Caenorhabditis elegans: one gene and its partners. The protein of the gene in region 2 interacts with the protein of the main gene of each other region in a pairwise test. Each region holds a gene or a part of one and is shown on either strand. Other genes may lie near its edges.

Region 1 (7,749 bases), on a different chromosome or scaffold from region 2:
TTATGAGAAGGAACGAGATAGCAGTGATATTGTGCGCCAAAAGCTGATTGAAGCTCTATTCCAGGTAAAAATCAGAATTAAGTCTTCACAAGTGTAGTTCCAAGTAAAGCATATCCCCGTTCCTAAATCGCTTGAAGATTCTTATGACGACGAAGACGTCGATAGGCGTTAAATCAGAAACAGGAGCGGGTGCGCGGGGCGCCAAAAAATTATCGACGCTTGATTAGTTTTTTGAATGAAAGCAGTTGACGCGGACGGACGGGCGACAGTCAATTGTTTTGTAATCTCGAGATGGTAATCGATCGCGAGAAAAAAATCGGCTGCTGTGCCTTAATTTGGGTGATCAAGCGGAAACTGCAAGTGATGACTAATTTAGTTCTCATGTTTAGGCGCCAAATTTGAGAAGTTAGCCTGAGGAAAAATCATAATAGATGTTCTTATTTCCAGCTATGTGCCACAAAACATGGACGTGAAGTGCTTCGAGCCAAAGGAGTCTATCCTGCAATGAGAGAACTTGACAAAGGAACTGAAACTGCTGAGGATAAGCACAAAAAGACACTGTTAAGCTCACAACAAGAGCACACTCTTCATGCATTAATTGGAATTCTTATTCGTTATGAATCTGAAATGGATGTCGATCCGGAACTCAGCTCAATTCGCGAACTTGGAACATCTGAAGTCACCGAGATAACTAAAACGTCTTGATTGTTCTCTTTTGAATTTCACATTTCATTTTGTCACTTGTTAATCAATTGTTAACCCATTTTGTTTGTTGATTGAAATTAATTTTCGAATTCCATCTTATCATCAATTCAGTGCTGCAAATGTGTGAACCACCGTGTAAGAGGTGGCAGTTTCAGTTTTTAAGTGATAAGAAGCCGCGAGAATGAAGTGAAATGAGAGTAGCCGATTCATTAGTTGTGTTTACGATTCAGAAATTGTTAAAAATTAGGAATTTGAGCACTTGAAGCCACCGGCGGAGAATTGTTTTTTATGGTAATTGCTTCAGGAAGAAGAAAATAATAAAACGGGGGTCCCGAGAAGAAAACGAAAAAAAAAACTTTGTGTGCTTTTTCTCTTATTTTATGGCTCCGGCGTTCGTTTCTATGGAAAATGTTTGAAGCCTTTGAACGACTTATTCTCAGAATAATATAATAAGTGAAAGTTCGCTCTATCGAATAGCATTTTTTCAACGAATCAGTAATAAGACACTATTTAAAGTCCTGAAGCGATGAATTTTCAGTATTGCTTTACAGTAAAATAATAAGCCAAATAGAATAATTTTTCGAAGCATGAGCAGTATTTTAAAGGCGCACGGATTTATTCAGATAAGTCTCACTACGAGGAAAAGTTTTTGGCAGGATATCGTATACGTTTTTTATGAATTTTACTTGATATTCGTCAAGATTTTCAGTTTATTTTTCGACAAATAAATATACAAATAATAATGAGCCACCATTAGATTTTTCGCGACGAGACCCATTAAAAAACCACGCGCCTTTAAGTTTACGTTTCAGAAAATTTCAGCCAACCATGTCTGCATGAAAAGTTTAAAAATAACAGAAACCTTTGAAAAGAAAGGACTCCTAACAAAAGATGGATTTTCCAATCAAACCATATTACCACGTGGCATCCATCCATGGACCATTCCCTTGTCCGCATCAACCCAACAGGAGCCGTGTGATCAGCCACACCCATGGCGTCAGTCCCGTCCTCCTCCTTGCCACCTAAGCCCCGCCCGCATTTCGGCTGGTCGGTATAGTGGTTTCCCCACGGGCCAATCGACACACAAGTGGGCGGAGCCGAGTCATAGAGCGGCAAAACGGACGACTACGGCGTGACTTCTTTCACTTTGACAAGGCCAGGCTATATACCCCTCAACGTCGTTGTGGGTGAAAACCACGTTTTTGGAGATTTTTCAATTTATCCCCGGAACAGTTTAAGCCGACGGTTTTTGTGTAAAGAAAAGATCATCATAAAATGGCATTCAATCCATTTGCACTTGGACGTCCTGATCTTTTGTTACCATTTATGGGAGCAGGAGTTGGTGGTCCTGGAGCCGGTGGTCCACCACCAAATTTGTTTTTTTCAATGCTTCAAGCTGGGTTTCCACCAGGACCTGTTGGATCACCACCTGAAGATGATGGGGTAACTGATGATCCGAAAGTTGAGCTTGATGAACGAGAATTATGGCAACAGTTTTCACAATGTGGAACTGAAATGGTCATTACTAAAAGTGGAAGGTTTGTTTTATTTAAGTTTTTTTTTCTAAATTCTTCTTGAAACTCTTTTTGTCTGCTTTGATTTTGAACTATATTTCCTCAGTCTCATAACTCCGTTGTCATTAATCTAGCTGAAAAGTTCTCAACTAAAAAATCCATACTGTTTTCTATATTTTTGTGGTTAACATTTTTCTGACAAAATAAGGAATAATAGAGATATGAGCTGTCAAAGTTAAAATCCCCATCACTTTACTTTGAGAGCTCATTCGGTTTATTGTAATCATCAAGTAATTAATTATAAATCTATAGAATGGAAAATAGAAAATAAATATTTTGACGGTGGAAATTTTTTGATTAACCTGAAAACAATTGAGATATAAGTTGATAAAGTCGAGCAGTTGGGGTGCAAGACTAGCAGGGAATTTAAAAATACAAAAAATACAAAAAATTTGAAATTATATTAAAATAATTATTATCAAATTAAATGCTATATTGTTCTGAAATTCAGTCAATTCCAAATTGATTATTATCATTCAAATTCAAAATTCAAAAACTTTAATATTTATTTTTCGTGTGCTCTCTCTTATCTTTTTCCTTGTTCTCCGTTCGATTCTGCATAGACTTTCTGGCGATTTTTAATCAGTTTTTATTTAATTTTTATTCTCTTGAAACGTTTCGAAATTGCTTCAGCTTTATTTCAAAGTCATATTTTTTATAACAGTTAGAACTTTATAACCTTTTTGGTCTTTGACATTTTTGAACTTAACAGCCTTTTGAAAAACCTATAGGATTTAAAGTCTCGAAATAGAAACTGAAAACTGAAAACAAATTGGTAGAAAAATATATCTAAGTTTAAAATGAAAAATAAACATATCTGGCTGATTGTCAAAAAGTTTTTCACAATACTTTTTCAAAACTCGCTGTCTTCTTTTATTATTATTTAATTAACTGTTCAAGTTTCAAGCTCAAACCGCCATAACTCGTGTAGTTATTTAATTTCTGCAATTTTTTAACTGCCACAGTACATGTTATAATATTCTCTAAATTTTGCTAGTTGGCAATTTTTCAATTAAGTCAATAACTCTAGAGATATATGCTCTTTTTTGAGCCCAGACATTTCTTTGTCCTTTCCCTTCAACGAAACTCCCAAAATTGTCAAATTTCACACCATCGGCGAGACAAAAGACACCCAAAATTCAATTTCCTACCGTAATCCTTGTCGATGCTCCGAGAGCAAGAAAAAGGCGTGAAAATGTTTATCACTGCTCGCCACTTTTTTCTCTCGCTTTTTTCACTTTCTAAACGATTTGAAAAGAGAGAGCACAACGGACTCTGCTGTGAAAATTGGAGAAAATGTGTGACAATTGTCGCGGAATTTTTGTTTGGAACCAAAATTTGTTAAATTTATTTTTTTCAATCAATCAAAAATTGAGATCCATCTGACTCTTTTAAGCTAGATATTTGCATTTCGGATAATTCAATTTCCATATATATTTGCCTCAGTTGGATATCGAATTTCAGTGAGAAAGGGTACGAATTATTATGCACAAAGCGAATCTAAATATGGGGGAATTGAAAAACTTCGAAAACCTTGAAAATATGAACATCCCTTAATAATCTGAGATACTAATTTAAAGGCACATACACGTCTTTTGGGTCTCGCCACGAACTACCGTATCCTTGTTTATATTTCCGCGCGAGACCTAAGAGGTGCTGTATTCTCCGAATCACTAATAATTTAAAACTGTGGGAAACTCAGTGTTTTGTTCAATTTTCCTATTGCTAAACTTTAACAGCTCACACAGCTTTGTCAAAAATTAGAAAAATAAACGAGTGTATTTTTTAATAGATGTAAAATTTTTTTCCTTCAAAGGAATCAGAAATGTGAATAAAACTTGAATATAATTTTAAAATTTCCAGACGGATATTCCCAGCATATCGAGTGAAAATCAGTGGTCTCGACAAGAAAAGTCAATATTTCGTGATGATGGATCTTGTTCCGGCTGATGAACACCGTTACAAGTTCAATAATAGTCGATGGATGATTGCTGGAAAAGCCGATCCCGAAATGCCAAAAACTTTGTATATTCATCCGGATTCTCCGTCAACTGGTAAGGGAATAGAAAATATTTTAAAAATTCCAACTTGTGCCAACTTGAGTTGTTTTTAGGTCAACTAGACAATTGCAAACTTAGTTTAATTGATAATTTAGAGTTAGAAAACCAGTTAATATTCTGAGCCTTCCAAGTAGGCATGCTCGCCTACCTACTGCCTTCACACTAGATAGGCGGTTGGAAGGTAGGCATGATAGTACAATAACCCGTTTCCCTTCAAGACCCAAACATTTTATTTTCAGGCGAGCATTGGATGTCAAAAGGCGCCAACTTTCACAAACTCAAACTCACAAATAATATATCGGATAAGCATGGATATGTGAGTTTTATTACTTTGTATGATCATGAAATCTACTAAACAAAAAGTCGTAAAAACTTCGTTTTTGGTGGTTTTTGCCATTCATAAATCCTCTTTGCACGAGAAAATCGGTGTCAAACTGGCAAAACTACAGTAATCCTTTTGGCCACCAATCATTTCATATTCGAGTGGGGGAGAAGGCTAAAGGGGATAAAACAAAGTGAATTTACCACCAAAAAAAGAGTCAAATTTCTCGGGACAAATATTCGAAGAATAGGGGAGATGAATAGCACGGCGGGAATATGCGAATTTGAGATTTTTTTTTCCAACGAATTTATGATGTGTTGACTGATTTTTGGAGAAGGAAATCGCTTTTTAAGGGATTTTCTGAAAGCCTGAATCAAGATTAAGCGTACATTGAAGCGCGTATTATAAGGTAGCAAAGCCCCTTGATTTACATTAGTCGTTAAAAATTTTCTTCCAATTAATGCAACTTTACAATGTCAGAACACATTAGGCCTTTTTTGATTTATAGTGCTCCATTACAATATCCTACTTTTCCGGAAGACGTCACTTTTTTCTTTGAAATTTCGACTTTTGACTCTAAGGGAGCCATCTCTTCTTATTCCAACGAAGAAGAGGCATCGAATTTCGCGTCAGATTTGCCGCTTTCTCGTACAGATTTGTCGGTTTCATATTGCACCAAAGATGCTTCTGAATTTCTGAATTTGCGTGTGCAATCTTGCAAAATTATTGGGAGGGAATGGAAAAATTTGGAATTTCAAAAATCAATCTATAGATTTTCATATTTTCAGACAATTCTCAACTCTATGCACAAGTATCAGCCACGTCTTCACGTAGTTCGGTGCGCGGATCGACACAATTTGATGTACAGTACCTTCCGAACTTTTGTGTTCCGTGAGACCGAATTCATCGCTGTTACGGCTTATCAAAACGAGAAGGTACGTGAAATCGCGCTCCAATGAAAACGTGAAACATTTCACACACTCTCATCTAATTCTACAGTAACCCAATTTATTAGTTCTTTTTTTTTTACTTTTTTTTTGCCGCTACCTCCTCCAGCCATCATTTTAATTCGCACCACACACACACCTACAGTAATGCGAATCATTTTTTGTGGAACTTCTAGTTTAGTATATTTGAAGCTATTTGAAAAATGAGGCGGAAATTGTAAAAAAGTAAATGTGATGAAAATATTCGCTGTACTTTGTGTGAATATCGATAGATCCGTATTTTCAATTTTTTGGAAGTTTTTTAAAGCAAAAACTGGAATCACAAATCTACCTAAACTTAATCAGTTCTGTATAACAGGGAATTCTATTCATTAAATTATTTGTTTCGTTAATGTGTTTTAAGTTCTTCTTGAAACTCAAATTGATATTTTTGGGGGTTCCCATGTCCTTTTTAAAGAAAAAAGAACTTTTTTGCTGAAATTTAACGATTTTTGAATAACAGTAAATAAAATGGAGAACCCGCCAATTTGTGTTTGCGCGTAGAATACAATGCATTTGGTCGATGTTCGCACAAAATTCTTGATCTTATAAAAACCAATTAAACAAACAATTTTGCAGGTGACGGAGCTGAAAATCGAAAACAATCCGTTTGCCAAAGGATTTCGGGATGCTGGAGCCGGGAAGCGTGAGAAAAAGCGACAACTTCACAGAATGAATGGAGATGCAACTCAAAGTCCACCCGGAAAAACCGCTTCACTACCCACACATTCACCACATCCATCAGAATCCAATTCAGAAGATGATGAGCCAACATTGAAGAAATGTAAACCCGAACCATCACAAACTCCAACAACATCAAGCCTTTCCACATCAACAACTCCAACATTATCAGCTCATCATCCGTTACGATCTCCCCAATTCTGCATTCCACCGCCAATTGATATGATGTATCAGAATATGCCAATGGATTTACTTGCACATTGGCAAATGGCAACACTCTTCCCACAATTCTCAATGGCTCTTAATTCACCTGCAGCTGCTGCTTCATTACTCTCCAAACATTTGGCAAAAGCTTCATCGGAATGTAAAGTCGAAGCAACTTCTGAAGATTCTGAAGAAGCTGAAAAGCCTGAAGTGAAGAAAGAGCAAAAGTCAGTGACACCACCCAAAAAGGGAGGTTTTGATGTTCTCGATTTGTTGTCAAAGCCTTAATTTGATACTTTTCATCTTATTTTTCAATTTTTTTTAAAGAACGAGCTTTTTAACGGTGTGAAATTTATCTAAATGTATCACCGAATTTGTTACAGTTTCTGCCATAACGATCTTCTCTGAAAATGACTCTCTTTTTTGTTCAAGTCTCCACTCTCTCTCTCTCTCTCTCTCTCTCTCTCTTTCCAAGCGGGCATAATATTTTTGTTTCTTTACAAAAAATCCCTCAAAATAGTCAATAGAATTTCAACTTTTTCTGGTCCTCAACTATTTATAGCTTTTAGACATTTATTCATCTTCAAATTTTCCTTTTTCTCTCTCAATCTTCTTATTGTACATTTTCGCGTCCCCAGTGATTGTACGATTTTCTTTTATCTGTTTTGAGCCTAGTGACATTAATAAATAATCAATACTTGTATCATTTTGTAAATTGTAGTCTGTAGTCTGCGCGCCCGGCACAGGCCGATGCTTGCGATGATTAACTCACACCCTGTTCCCAGGGCTGAAGGTTTTACGATTGAGTGGCGTTTAGCAGAAAATTGATTTTTTCGCTTTTCTAAAATTATAATTCAAAGATTTTGGAGTTTCCAAAAATAAAAAAGTTAGCCTTTTTCCTTTCTCGCCCGGATTACTGTAATTGTCTGGAAAGAGAACTGTAGAATTGCTGTATGACACATGAACTTTATTTGGTTTTTACAATTCTTGGCTTGATTTAAAAATACAGAAAATAATTATAAAACGTAAAGCAAATTGGTGTTTTTGGAATGTAGTATATTTACAACGCAATTCCACTAATTTAATCATAATGATCTGATGAGGAAGGCAATTGTGCGAATGATTCGGTCATTGACGCTGATCCCATTGAAGGTGTCATTCTCTCCATATTTTGAAGACTTTGAGCATTTCTTCTCAAACATGAAGCCAGCTCGGCG
Region 2 (3,611 bases):
GTTCCCACTTCATCTGACCTTCTTCTTGCTCAGACCCTTTATCTTCCTAATTCTGGCTCTGATCCTCCTCAACCCATACCGCCGTCGTTTTGTCAAATTCTTCTTCCCGTGTTGTAGAAGACATTAGGAACGATCTTTTATTTTTTTTCTGTAATTATTGCTTCCAACTCTTCTTTTTTGCGCCATAATTCTAAACCCCTGTGCCATTGGGCGCCCCCTCAGAAGCCCGGTGCTCCTTCGTTTTTTCTTTGTTTTGTTTTTTTTCAAATCGGAAATATCGCTCTCTCAGAAATTGTGATAAATAGTACACGTTTTACACGTTCCATATGTGCCTTGCCTTACAATTAAAAAATGAATAAATTTTTTTCAAATTTAAATCATTCTTATTTTTACGATGAGTTCGAAAAGTGGTGTTATAGAGTTTCCGGAAGACAAGTGAGTTTTTAATTTTTATTTATAAATTTAAATTTTTGACTCTTTGAAGCAAATTTGTGCATACAAATATGGCTGATTACACTACGGAATTGCTTGATGGTAGTGAGTCAACTACAAAGAGTACAGCAACAGACGAACCACCTAATCAATTGTTTTTGTCATCGTTGCTTTTCTTGAGCTCTGCGATTTGTTCTCTGTGAGCTCACTAGCTATTTTCTACAATTAAACAATAATGGAAAACCAAAATAAAATTTTATTCCAGATTCGCAGCTTCAATTCTAGTTCGTAGTTTTCCATTTTTCGGTTCTACTCTCTCTTTGGTGATCATTCTAGTAACTAGGTTGGCTTTGTTCATCAAGAAAAATAGATCTAATTGGAACATTTTCTAGAGAATGGAATAGGATATACGGTGGACTTTTGAGTCCAAATCTGAAAGCAACAATCAACTATTCGACCGTTATGAGAGATCACAGGTACATCTGAATTCTAGAAAATCACCTATTGTATATATATCCTATATATAGGCATATATTTTGACACTTAAAATAATTAAATTTCCAACTTTCTAATTCAGAGAATACATTCCGTTATACGACATGGACTGGTTGTTCGGAGGAAGATACAAGCCGTACTATTATGGATGCACGGGACCTTCGAACAATCCGGACATGGAGAGAACGCCTGATGAGTGAGAAAAAAGTTTTTTATTTTTTGAAAACGTTATCATTTTTGCAGCCCCGGAAGTCGTTCGCCGACGAAAGAGCGCAAGGAAGGAGAGGTTTTGAAGAAGGATGACTGACTGGGCACTCTCATTCTCACACATTTTGCCGCGAATAAATATTATTTGAATTTCGCGCCCTTCGAATTTATAATTTTCTTGAATATTCTTTTGTGTGCGCGCGAAAACTGCGAACCGTTTTGTAATTTTCTGTTGCATTCTGTCGAAATTAGTTTTCGTGTGCGACACCATTGCGAAATCGCGCGCCGCACTATGCAATTTATTGATCGATAATACGGGCGGTGCTCGCCCCCCTTTTCGTTTTTTGGCGCGATATCCTATTTTTGAACTTTTTCGAGAAATTTCTCTTTCTTATCGATCGGATTTCTGTTTGAAAAATCTAAAATAGTTCTGACAAGTGTCACGAACACGCTGTTTCGTTTGTTTACCTCTCTCTTCTTTTCTCGTTGTGCCTAAAACTTCACTGTCCACTTCTCTTTTACAAATTTGATATTTTTCAGTGTAACCGAACAAAAATGTCGGGAATTGCTGCAGGACGCCTCGCGGAAGAAAGGAAACACTGGCGAAAGGTGAGAATTTTATCATTACATGGCAAGTCGGGGCGATTTGTATTACAAAACCGCTTTAAATCGGTTAAATTCTAAAAATTATCGAAAAATAGTTTGTTTTCATGCCCAAAACTCAACATTTTCAGGATCATCCATTCGGATTCATTGCCAAACCAGTCAAGAACGCCGACGGAACATTGAACCTCTTCAATTGGGAATGTGCAATCCCAGGGAGAAAGGATACGATTTGGGAAGGCGGATTATACAGAGTATGTGAAGCTAGAATTCGGAAATTATCATTTTTCGTTAATTTATTGAGCTATAATATTCGTGAACTGTTTCTCTCAAAAACTGCTATTTGGAATACAACGATATTTATAAATCTAATTCAATTTTCTTTCAGATTCGGATGCTCTTCAAGGACGATTTCCCGTCAACGCCACCAAAGTGCAAGTTCGAGCCACCACTCTTCCATCCAAATGTGTACCCATCAGGTTATTATTGCAGTCCAATAGTTATAATTAATTAATTGAATTCAGGTACCGTGTGCTTATCTCTTCTGGATGAAAACAAGGATTGGAAGCCGTCAATCTCAATCAAGCAACTTCTCATTGGAATTCAAGATTTGCTGAACCATCCAAATATTGAAGATCCAGCTCAGGCTGAAGCCTATCAGATCTACTGTCAGAATAGGTGAGTTTTTTTTATCTGAATATTATAAAAAAAATACACAAATGAATTTATTACAGGGCTGAATATGAGAAGCGAGTGAAGAAGGAAGCTGTGAAGTATGCTGCCGAACTCGTCCAGAAGCAAATGCTCGAGTAGATGCTTGCTTCGTGGTAGTCGTCTATTCTATTCTCCTTTTTCCTCCCATCCTCATTTCATTTAGTTAACTATTTCTGTATGCGGCAACGATTGTTGACACAACTCGAAATTCGAGCACCGAAGCAACTTTTCTGATATCTTTTATTTCAATCTAACCAAAAGCTTTGTCGTGCCTGGTTTTTCATTTCGTGGTTGATGAAATTCGAGAGCTAGAACATTTCGATGACTTTTTCCAAATTTCGTGTGCACGCAAACCCAATCATTTTCCACTGGTCCATGGGCTGAGTAGTCTTTATTCTTTCAAAAGACTATTCCTCATCATTCTTACTCATTTTGATCTTCATCTTTCTTTTTATCCCGTTCTGTTTTCCATCTCTTTTCTCTTCCCCCCAATTCTCTTAAAATCAGGAGCACAATTTAATTGTTGACAAATCCCGTGTATTCCAATTTTCTAAATGGACTTGATTATATTTTTTTTCCCTCAACTTATTTGTATTTTGCAACTCAACCATGAACTGTTCATGTCAGATTCTCCAACAATGTCCGAATTCATGAAAGGTGTGATGCTTCTGAAGCAAGACTTGACTGAAGTTCCTGCCGAAGAAGCTCTGAAGGGCAAGGTGGCGAAATATTAGTGTGTAGTGAAAGATTTTAGAATATGACATTTAGGTTGTTGCTCTTTATTTTTCCGCGGGATGGTGTCCACCGTGTAAGCAGTTCACTCCGAAGCTAGTTGTGAGTGCTGAATCTAGATTTTCCGATTTTCCAATGAGTTTCCACACCCTTCAGCGCTTCTACCATCATCTGAAGAAGGCTGGAAAGCCCATCGAAGTGGTTTTCTTCTCTCGTGATAGATCAAAGGCTGATCTTGAAGAGAACTTCACCGAGAAGCACGGCGATTGGCTCTGCGTCAAGTATGGAGACGACATTTTGACGTGAGATTTATCATTTTTAATTTCAGAGTCTCAAAAATAAATCATAATTTTCAGACGATATCAATCAAAGTTCGAGATCAAGACGATCCCAGTGCTCCGAGTGATCAACGCAGCCGGCAAGATGGT
Region 3 (4,685 bases), 5.6 Mb from region 2:
AATGTCTCGATCTACCATACTAAAGCGGAAAATGTAGAATCAGAAAATAAATTTTTGGCTCAACACGATATACAGTTAAAAATAAACTAGTATATCATAAATAAGTGAACTTTCTTATCAGGAGCCAATTAGTCATCTCTGACGTACAAATATTAACAATAAATTTCAAAACCTAAATAAGAATAGTAAAGATCAAAAGAGGGCAAGATCATGTTGAGTAATTTGAATGAGACGATGACAACAGGCAAGGGTCACACAGCTGTTCAGCAAATGTGCTGTGACCGTCGGTATTGCATAATAAGAATCGCTTTTGAGAGCATAAGTACGGACAGTTGGGTATTTTCAGGCAATTTTCAAGGTTTTTTGTTGTTGCCGGAATTTTACAAAGCAAAAATTCCACTCCACATTTTGCGAATAGGCAAATTAGAGATAATCATCTTACCTCATTCTTGGCCGCTTCAATGTCCATTTCAGTTAGTTGGATCTGGAATTATTGCTAGGTTAACATGATGAACACGCATTTTTAAAATACAGTATTAAAGGTTTCGAAAACCTTTATAAATTAAAAAGAACATTAGCTTATCAATACTGACATAATCAGTTCAACTATACGATTCATACAAAACGACGGGTAAAACAAAAGAGAGAGAGAGAGATGCACAAACCTATATATAATACAGATACAAAAAAGGAATGTAACGGAATAGTGAAACATGAGGGGCAGGCGAAAACTTTTCATAGAGAACATAGAACGCTAGATTTAAAAACGACCCAAATAAACATGATGAATCCGTGAAAGTGTGGAGAGAAACAGAAATGTGATATATTTATCGGGATATGAATGATGAAGTTTGATAAGAAAAAGAAAAACGAACGGCTAGTCCTCGCGTGCGTCCTCAATACCATGATTCGTGATTGAGTAGGTCGCTTCGGCTTCTGGTAAATTGGGTGATTGAACCATTTTTGCGACGCGATTCTCTCCTTTTCCTTTTCGAAGGTACAATCTGAAAATATGAATAACTTAATTTTTCTTCTTTAAAAAATCCTCAAAAAGACCACATGTAATGTTTAATAAAAAAATTAAATATGTTCTCTATTTGTTCAAAATCTTCAGAAAACCTCCAACTATGTTTACCTGGTAGTAGACATGTGAGCGATGATGTGACCTCCAATGGGCTTTTTAGCATCAGCCTGGAACATCGAGGCTCCTCCGTCGACTTGTGCTACAACTTGATTGGTAATAATTACAGCGACACCATATTCATCGGCAAGCTTGGCAAGGCATTTCAGAAAAGCAGAGAGCTTCATCTGACGTTCCGCTAGATCTCCTCTTCCAGTGTATTCGTTACGGAAATGAGCAGTTGCACAGTCAACAATCACAACAGCATAACGACTCTCGGACATCATTGCTCCTATGGCACGAAAAAGTTTATTTTTTTATTTTTTGAAATTTAGATTTACCTGCTCGAATAATCAAAGCCATCAAATGTTCTGAGTTGTATGCACGTGCAACAGCGATATTCTCGAGTACATGAGCACTGTCCATATTGTATCTGCAAGAAATTACTTCGATATTCAAAAAAATGCTACAAGATCCATAATAAGGTAAATTCTCAAATGCCAAAATTCAAGCCATGTGGCGTAAACCAGTAATTGTACAAAATGAGCCATTGCGACTTGTTCTCCAAACGTTTTTATTTCAAACTTAGTGATAGAATATAGAGAAATATTTACTTTATCTGAAAAAAAAAACTTATATTTGTTGAAACAATAAGGAAAAGGCTAAAAAATTGCCTGCAAGTTGAAATTCGCCAAAAAAAGACCCGGAACATCTCTGAAAGTTCATTTACGGCAATTTCCAACTTGCAGACCATTTTTGGCCTTTTCAATTGTTCAAGCAAAAATAACAGCTATTTTCAGACTGAGAAAATATGTTACTGATTTCTCGAAATAAATTTTAATTTTTTTTTAAATTTTCAAGTCGGGAGATCAAATTATGACAAATTCAGGATTTTTAAGAATAATTCTCAATCACAAACCTCTGAGCGATAGCAATAATTCGTTCGGGTCGAAAAGTGGCATTGGTATCAATATACATACATTTTCCCTCACCACCTCCCATATCAATCGGCAATTGACACAAGACTGCCAGACTGTGGCAAAGCTGAGTTTTTCCTGTTCTATATTCTCCGTAAACCTGAAATAAATGTTTTATTGAGTACTGTTGTCAGTTTATCCGTGATAAACTCACCTCAGTGATACTGCCTGTTTCGATACCGCCACCCAACAGTCTGTCAAGTGAAGCAGATCCAGTTCTGATCTGCACCAGCTGGCTTCGCTTCACATGAACCTCGGCTCCCGTCGTGAATCCCATCTGCACGAATTTCATGGCTTCTTTCTGAAATTAAATCATTGAAATATGAGGCCGATGTCTACATGTTCACAGCTGGTCGATTTGCCGTCAAAACTGACCTTGCAGCTGATCGTTTCATTCTTTTTCGGAGCTAACCTCGAAAAATGTATCAACTTTTCTGATACTTTCAATTCAATTAATTGGATTTTGAAAAATAAAGCCACAGAATTTTTAGTTTTTTTCTTTAATTCTCGAATAAGCTGATTTTTTGATATGCTCACCATTATCTTTTCAGCTTTCTGATCACTAATTCCTTTGACATTTCGGAGTTCGCGTCTTGTAGTAAATGCCAGCGATTCGTATGTATAGTATCCAGCTTCTTTTAGTTTTGAAATATCGCCAGAACTGATTCCTGAAGACTCAAGTTTATCGATAACTGTGAAGTTTTCATCTTGCTCCATCGCATTATCCTCGATTGCTGCATTGAGCAAAGCTTGATCAGCTGCACGCTGCTCTTGATCCGATTTCTTTTGACGACTTGCTTGAGCTGACATTTTTGACTCCTGAGATAATTTTAATTAATTATTTTTAAGTTAAAACATACAATTGGAAGGAAAAGATTTATTGAATGCAAATTCAAATTATATAGCCATTTATGTGTACATAGTGAACGTTTCGCAATCCCTAAAATCGGCATTTTTAACAGTGGAGCTTTTTTTTTCAAAAATTATGCTACACATTTACCTAAACTTATTTTTAAAATGTTACCTTCATATCCCCAAGATTGTCCCATAATCAATAGCAAAAGCTTTCTCTAGAGCAACAAAAATTGAGAAAAACATGGCCTAGAGACACGTGCCAAGTCCTTCCTCGAGCCCCCGTTCGCTTGACGAAAACAAGAACTTTCATGTTTTTCACAAGTTAGAACTGCTTTTGCTGCTCTACTATTTTTGTCGTCAACTACTGATTTATAACAGGATTAAGTCCACATATTTCTAGGCGTCAAGTTGAACGAACATATTTTCGAATTTAAGAATCACAATTTATGATTTATAGGTTTTTATTAAGGGTTTTCTTAGATAGATTTTCGTTTTAGAATAGAAAACATGGAAATTTAAATGCAAGTAAAACTGGCAGTAAATACAGAATTCTCAATTTTCAAAGTAGCGCCATTTGAAATTTTTTTTTCCGCTTTTTCGATGGCGCGCACTTGCTGTACTCTTGTTCAACACCTCGCCCTCCCGTCTCGTCCACTGCCGCTCGCGTGTGTGAAAGGCACCGATAGGAACGGGCCAGGGAAAAGGAAAAAGTGTAGAAAAAGACGATGCGCAGACATACAGCAAGGAGGGTCAGTGGACGCAATGGGGAAAAGAGAAGGAAGAGGACACCCAAATGTCTACTATGTACATTGTGTCCGAACCATTTTAAAACCAAAACTGGACATTAACCTTATCTTTTGCCCTTTTGAGCTTAATTTTTATATCACTTTTCTGCCTTAAAGCATTATTTTTTAAAGTACTATTCGTTTTTCAATCACTCGAACTATTAAATCTTTAAAACATTTTTTCTTGCAAGATTCTATGATTTTTGAATACTATTACTTATTAATTTATTAATACTTAGCTTAAATTTATATAATAATTTTTTATCTTGAAAATTGTTTTTCGTTGATTGAAAATTATATTTCAAATTTAGAATTGTTCGCAATTAAAAACGGGTAAAGCATGAAATATATTTCAGAAATCGAACAAAAATCAGGCTTTTTATTTTCCGAATATCAATTTCAAGCGTTAACCGAAGCGTTGTTATTTAATGACAAAAAATTTTGTTCATTTTAGGTTTTCATTCAAGAAAAGGAAGCAAAATTTAGCATAGCTGAAGACTTTTAATTAGTTTAACTCAAAAGCTACGAGAATAATCAAAAATTTAATAAAAAACCGCGCAAATCATTAGAGGATAATTAAGTTTTAAAACTAAAATGACAAAAAATGACAAAAGAAACAATGAGAAATCAAAACATGTTTCCTCCGTAAATCGACATTGAGTACTGTAGCGATTGGTCTCGCAGCGATGTTAATTTTCTTCTGTACTCCTCTCGGATAAATTTTATTATTATTGAACATGCGTATTAAATCGTTCATTGAACGGAAAATGGAGAGAATCGCAAGAAAAAAAATTATGATGAAAGTGCAAATAATTTAGAAAGGCTATGACACAGGTGATTCGCCGTTATAAAATACTTATGGCCACCAGTATTTTAGATGCAATTTGCAAATCGCTAATCTCGCTGCGGGACCACCAACATTCTAGCAATATATTGCTAATTGCGACT
Region 4 (4,753 bases), 2.4 Mb from region 2:
AGGGAGTGCAAGACTATTAGGGAGTGCAATACTAATTTTCAGAACATTTTTCTGACTTTGAGCTTACTAGTTTTTTTCTGAAAAAGCTCGAATCTTATGTAAAAATTCAGAAAATTTGCTTTTAATTGTAACATATATAATAAGTTCAAAAACTTCAATCTCGTAGAAATGTTGTGAAAAACTGTTGCAAAATAGGCAAATTTTTTTGTTGAAATCCTGAAGTTAACAAGACGGGCCTGCAATAAAAAAGAGTAAACGCAAGGCTATTAGGGAGTGCAAGACTAATAGGGAGTGCCATACTAATTTTCGGAAGGTCTCCGAGGGGCAATACTAATAGGGAGTGCAAGTCTAATAGGGAGGCCATATTAATAGAAGATATACGGTATGTGAAAAACAATTTTTTAGTTGGCAATTTTCTGATAAAACCAATGTCAATCAAGATGTCAACTGATAAAGTTGCATAGGCTGCCAAAGTGGGTTCATTTGAGGTTCAATTGATGCACCATGTCGTTCCTTCTTGGACAGCCTATATCTCTATTTATTTTAATGCTAGTAATTTTAAAATGAGAAAATTATAGAAAAATATTTGAAAAATGTTTTGTTAGTTGTCAATTTCAAATAAAATCAAAAGACAACCAAGATATGAGCTGTCAAAGTTATGCAGTTAAATCCTCCTCACTTTAGAAGCTCTAATTTCAGTTGATTTTAAAAATATCAAAATATAGTAAACTAGAAAACTATAAAAAAATATGTGACAAACATTTTGTCAGTTGACAATTTTCTGATAAAACCAATGACAACCGAAATATAAACTGGTAAAGTTGAAGTTTTTTTTCGATGCACCATGTTCGTTTAATATGATGATTTTCTAATTTTCCAAAATAGTTATATATTGGCAAGTGGAAAAAAATTTGGTTTGTTTTAAATTGATTAATAATGTTAATTGCATAATTGTACAATATTTTGTCAGTTGACAAAAACAACCAAGTTTTCAAAGTTAAGTCTCGAGCAAGTTTCGGTTTCCTACGTTGTTTGGCGGGTTTTCAAAGAGTTTTTTGGGCAATTTCAGACAATTTTGAGCTATTTTGAAGTAAGAAGACATACAAAAACATTGCAGGTATTATAAAATAATTATCAAATAGCTAAAAAAAAATTCTTCATTACACTTAAACAACTTTTGAGCAGACCAACTTTTGTGATTTCCAATATATGATTTTACTTTTAAAAAAAATCTAAGACTAAACCATTTCCCTCAACTTTTAAATTATTCTAACATTAAACCTCTCCTCTTCCGTTTAAAATCGTATTAGCCAAGGGAATTAGGCCTTTGAAACTAAAACTTTTCCCTTGTGTCTTGTGTCACAACGCATTAAAATTTGAAGATATTAATAATTGTCCCACTTTCCACATACTTCATTCTTTTTTTATGAATTGTACAGTAGGCCTTTATGCCTGCCTGGTGCCTAGAGTAGGCATAAGGTAGGCATGAGATCGTAAAGTGACAGCAAGTTTTGCTCATATCTTAAAATTATCGTGTTTTTATAATGTAGATTCAATTCAACAATAAGTGAGCAAAAAGTGTTGTAAATTTCCGCATTTTACAGCCCCCCTCCCGTCCCTTGTTATCTATAGAGTCACTGAAAATAGTAGCCAGCTCGTCACTCATTGCCACGTCATCTTTCATCAGCCGCCGCCACCCCGTACCATTTTCCAGGTCAAAAGAAAGCGCCGACACTCTACAGTTTACACGAAAATGAATCACATTGACCTTTTGAAGGTTTGTCCACTGACTTCATGACTCCTAAATAGTATTCTTTTGCAGGTCAAAAAAGAGCCGCCGTCGAGTTCGGAAGAAGCCGAGGAAGAAGAATCTCCGAAACATACGATTGAGGGAATTTTGGATATAAGAAGTTAGTTTATTTTTTATAGTATTTGGAGCAAAACACACTTGCTACTAAAAGCAAATGTGCTCAATGAAGTTTGGCTCAAAATTGCTGATAGTGATTTTTATTTTGAATGAAAAATTTCACATTTTTCGGCAATTTGCTTATTGTGATTTGAACAGTCGAAATGTGAAATGAAAAATTAGGGGACATGGTGCATTGATTGGGCAACTTTGGCAGTTTATATTTCGGTTAATGTTTAAGATACGAAAAAATATGTAACTACAAAGTTATAGAACAACATATGAAATTTGTTTTGTTAGTTAAAAGTTTTTTGATAGAACCAAAGATAGCCAAGGAAAGTGGTGACAAAGTTATGCACCATGTTTGAACCTCTACACTTTAGGAGCACATATTTCGGTTCATTTTTAAAATATCAACATATAGTAAAATACAAAACTATAGAAAAATATGTGAAAAACAATTTTTTAGTTGACAATTTTCTGATAAAACCAATGTCAATCAAGATATCAACTGATAAAGTTGCATAAGCTGCCAAAGTGGGTTCATTTGAGGTTAATTTGTTGGACAGCCTATATCTCTATTTATTTTAATGCTAGTAATTTTAAAATGAAAAAATTATAGCAAAATATTTGAAAAATGTTTTGTTAGTTGACAATTTCAAATAAAATCAAAAGACAACCAAGATATGAGCTGATGCACCATGTTAAATCCTCCTCACTTTAGAAGCTCTAATTTCAGTTGATTTTAAAAATATCAAAATATAGTAAACTAGAAAACTTTAAAAAAATATGTGACAAACATTTTGTCAGTTGACAATTTTCTGATAAAACCAATGACAACCGAGTCAATGACAATGACAATGACAATGACAACTGGTAAAGTTGAAAGGATGTTCGAACAATATGATACTTTTCTACTATAGTGGCAAGTGGAGCTATTGGCACATTCTCAAAATATTTTACTAACTAGTCTAGTAGAACAAGTTTCAAACCAATTTGTTCTTCCTGCCAGACGGCTGAATAAACCGTAACGACCATGCTCTTCCACCTGTCGGTTGATGCTCAACTACTGATTCCTCTCCCTGCCACTTTTTTCTCTTTTTTTCTGAATTTAGTTTTGGTTTTTGCGGGTAAAATCCGATAAGAATTGATGAATGTGTGTCGCTTTGGGTAGAGCAGCTAATCCGTATTTGGTTTTAATGATGATTTGATGATTTAGTATGGTGTTTCTTTTTTCTCAAGTTTTTGAGTAGAATTTTCAAGAAATTTGTGAGAAAAATGACTTAAATTTTGCCAAAACATAGGGTATTTTTTAAAACTTTGAGCAGAATTTTCAAAAAAAATAACACGATAAAATTCAATTCTAAAATAATTGTCAAGACGAAATTTTCGGTATAAATCCAACTCCCTCTATACATATTTCCGCCTCACAGTACCGCAGGTCCCCCATTTTTGTTTGATTTCTACCGCATTTTCACACCCAATCACTTTTGTATATATATACATACGACATATGGTGTCAATTAATAAGTCGGAGGGGAGGGTGTGTGTTTGATACGTTTATATATTTAGATACTTCTTGTTGAAGAGTCAAGTTAAATCAAACCACATGACAATGTTTAGAGCTTTAAAGGTTCATAACTGGAACTATTGTTTTTATATCCATTTGCAAAACGTTACATTAAACACATGGCTGGAATAAAATACAACCTTTTGTCTTTACTATGCCACAGAGTCTGTAATAGTGTCCTCCAATAATTTAATGCATTTTTACGTGCTTTGCAATTTTTCTGAAAGTATCTTCAAATGGGTGAAAATCACTCATTTTGATATTCTTCTATACCTTTGAATTTTCTTGATATATATGCTTTACTGTTACCCCTAAAACCATCCCAACTAGCATCTGTTCTTCACTATTTACGGGTCTCTTGTCTTCCTTATCTGTTGTTATTGTTGTTGTGCTCTTTCGGAGCAGCTGAAGTTGCGGATTAAAGTCATCTGCGACCAAAATTGACGGATCGGAATATATGGCCGACAAAGAAGAGGTGCTTGAATGGGGTGAAGTGGGGGTCCTAAAAAGATCAGTCATCCGGAATGTTTTTAGGGTAGTATCATATGAAAAACCCCTCTACTCAATTCATATTAAATATTTTGTCAGCCCCTGAAACCTCTTTATCCAACAAGAAAACCGTACTAATGATAGGTTATATCGGAAAGATGTGGAAGGGTGGAACATAAATATTATTGCGTCTTCACGGATTTTTGTGAGATCATCATTTTGGAGATAACCAGGGGGGAAGGTCATCAAAAGGTGCGACTGATAGGCATCTGGTAGTGCATGATTCAGTTTTAGTAGTGTATTTGCTTTTTTTTGAGGACATGAGAAAAATTTAGGAAATTTTTGAACCCACCTTGAGAATTTTGGAATAACTGCTGTAGCCTCTCCTAGGGCTTCCACCAGGGGTGTGCGGCAAATCTCAAAATTTGCCGAGCTCGGTAAATTCGGCAAATCTCTTTTTTCAATATTTGCCGAGCACGGCAAATTCGGCAAATTCGGCAAATTCGGCAAATTCGGCAAATTCGCCGTGCTTAACAAACTCGGAAAAATTTGATATTTTTTTTATGTTTTTTGGAGCACCAAAACTACTGAATTCTTAACACACATCTGGTTTCTGAATAAGTTCCGCGTAGTATGTCTGTTTAAGCATCAAAATAGCTCAATTTTGTATCATTTTACTAAATTTTTGGCTAAAAAATCAATAGTTTTAGTCAAAATTGTACTGTCAAATTTTTGACGTGTGCGGCAAATTCGGCAAATTCGGCAAATCTACTTTTTTGAAATTTGCC

The links.
Region 1: the proteins of ubc-9 (region 2) and tbx-2 interact in a two-hybrid assay, tested with the Caenorhabditis elegans proteins (2 studies listed by BioGRID).
Region 3: the proteins of ubc-9 (region 2) and rad-51 interact in a two-hybrid assay, tested with the Caenorhabditis elegans proteins (2 studies listed by BioGRID).
Region 4: the proteins of ubc-9 (region 2) and lin-1 interact in a two-hybrid assay, tested with the Caenorhabditis elegans proteins (one study listed by BioGRID).

Annotation. Positions count from the first base shown.
Region 1 is NC_003281.10:5,130,408-5,138,156, reverse strand, and holds tbx-2 (T-box protein 2), read left to right. Parts: upstream 1-1,837; 5' UTR 1,838-1,980; coding exon 1,981-2,243; intron 2,244-4,142; coding exon 4,143-4,333; intron 4,334-4,578; coding exon 4,579-4,655; intron 4,656-5,449; coding exon 5,450-5,596; intron 5,597-6,226; coding exon 6,227-6,820; 3' UTR 6,821-7,234; downstream 7,235-7,749. Other genes in the region: Y54H5A.2 (Protein HGH1 homolog), read left to right, coding at 1-64, 448-705; sax-2 (MOR2-PAG1_N domain-containing protein), read right to left, coding at 7,614-7,749. UniProt on the Caenorhabditis elegans protein: Involved in the transcriptional regulation of genes required for the development of pharyngeal muscles derived from the ABa lineage.
Region 2 is NC_003282.8:4,649,370-4,652,980, forward strand, and holds ubc-9 (SUMO-conjugating enzyme UBC9), read left to right. Parts: upstream 1-1,674; 5' UTR 1,675-1,689; coding exon 1,690-1,743; intron 1,744-1,868; coding exon 1,869-1,991; intron 1,992-2,125; coding exon 2,126-2,216; intron 2,217-2,261; coding exon 2,262-2,415; intron 2,416-2,471; coding exon 2,472-2,550; 3' UTR 2,551-3,078; downstream 3,079-3,611. Other genes in the region: F29B9.8 (Serpentine Receptor, class T), read left to right, coding at 1-127; F29B9.7 (Pheromone-regulated membrane protein 10), read left to right, coding at 395-435, 485-631, 698-775, 825-908, 1,010-1,123, 1,171-1,234; F29B9.5 (Thioredoxin domain-containing protein), read left to right, coding at 3,090-3,170, 3,220-3,285, 3,340-3,485, 3,540-3,611. UniProt on the Caenorhabditis elegans protein: Accepts the ubiquitin-like protein smo-1 from the aos-1-uba-2 E1 complex and catalyzes its covalent attachment to other proteins with the help of an E3 ligase such as gei-17.
Region 3 is NC_003282.8:10,281,099-10,285,783, forward strand, and holds rad-51 (DNA repair protein RAD51 homolog), read right to left. Parts: upstream 3,147-4,685; coding exon 3,122-3,146; intron 3,038-3,121; coding exon 2,958-3,037; intron 2,917-2,957; coding exon 2,635-2,916; intron 2,399-2,634; coding exon 2,252-2,398; intron 2,198-2,251; coding exon 2,040-2,197; intron 1,554-2,039; coding exon 1,462-1,553; intron 1,413-1,461; coding exon 1,136-1,412; intron 1,005-1,135; coding exon 878-1,004; 3' UTR 536-877; downstream 1-535. Other genes in the region: thk-1 (Thymidine kinase), read right to left, coding at 443-469.
Region 4 is NC_003282.8:2,297,287-2,302,039, reverse strand, and holds the start of lin-1 (ETS domain-containing protein), read left to right. Parts: upstream 1-1,753; coding exon 1,754-1,777; intron 1,778-1,822; coding exon 1,823-1,910; intron 1,911-4,753.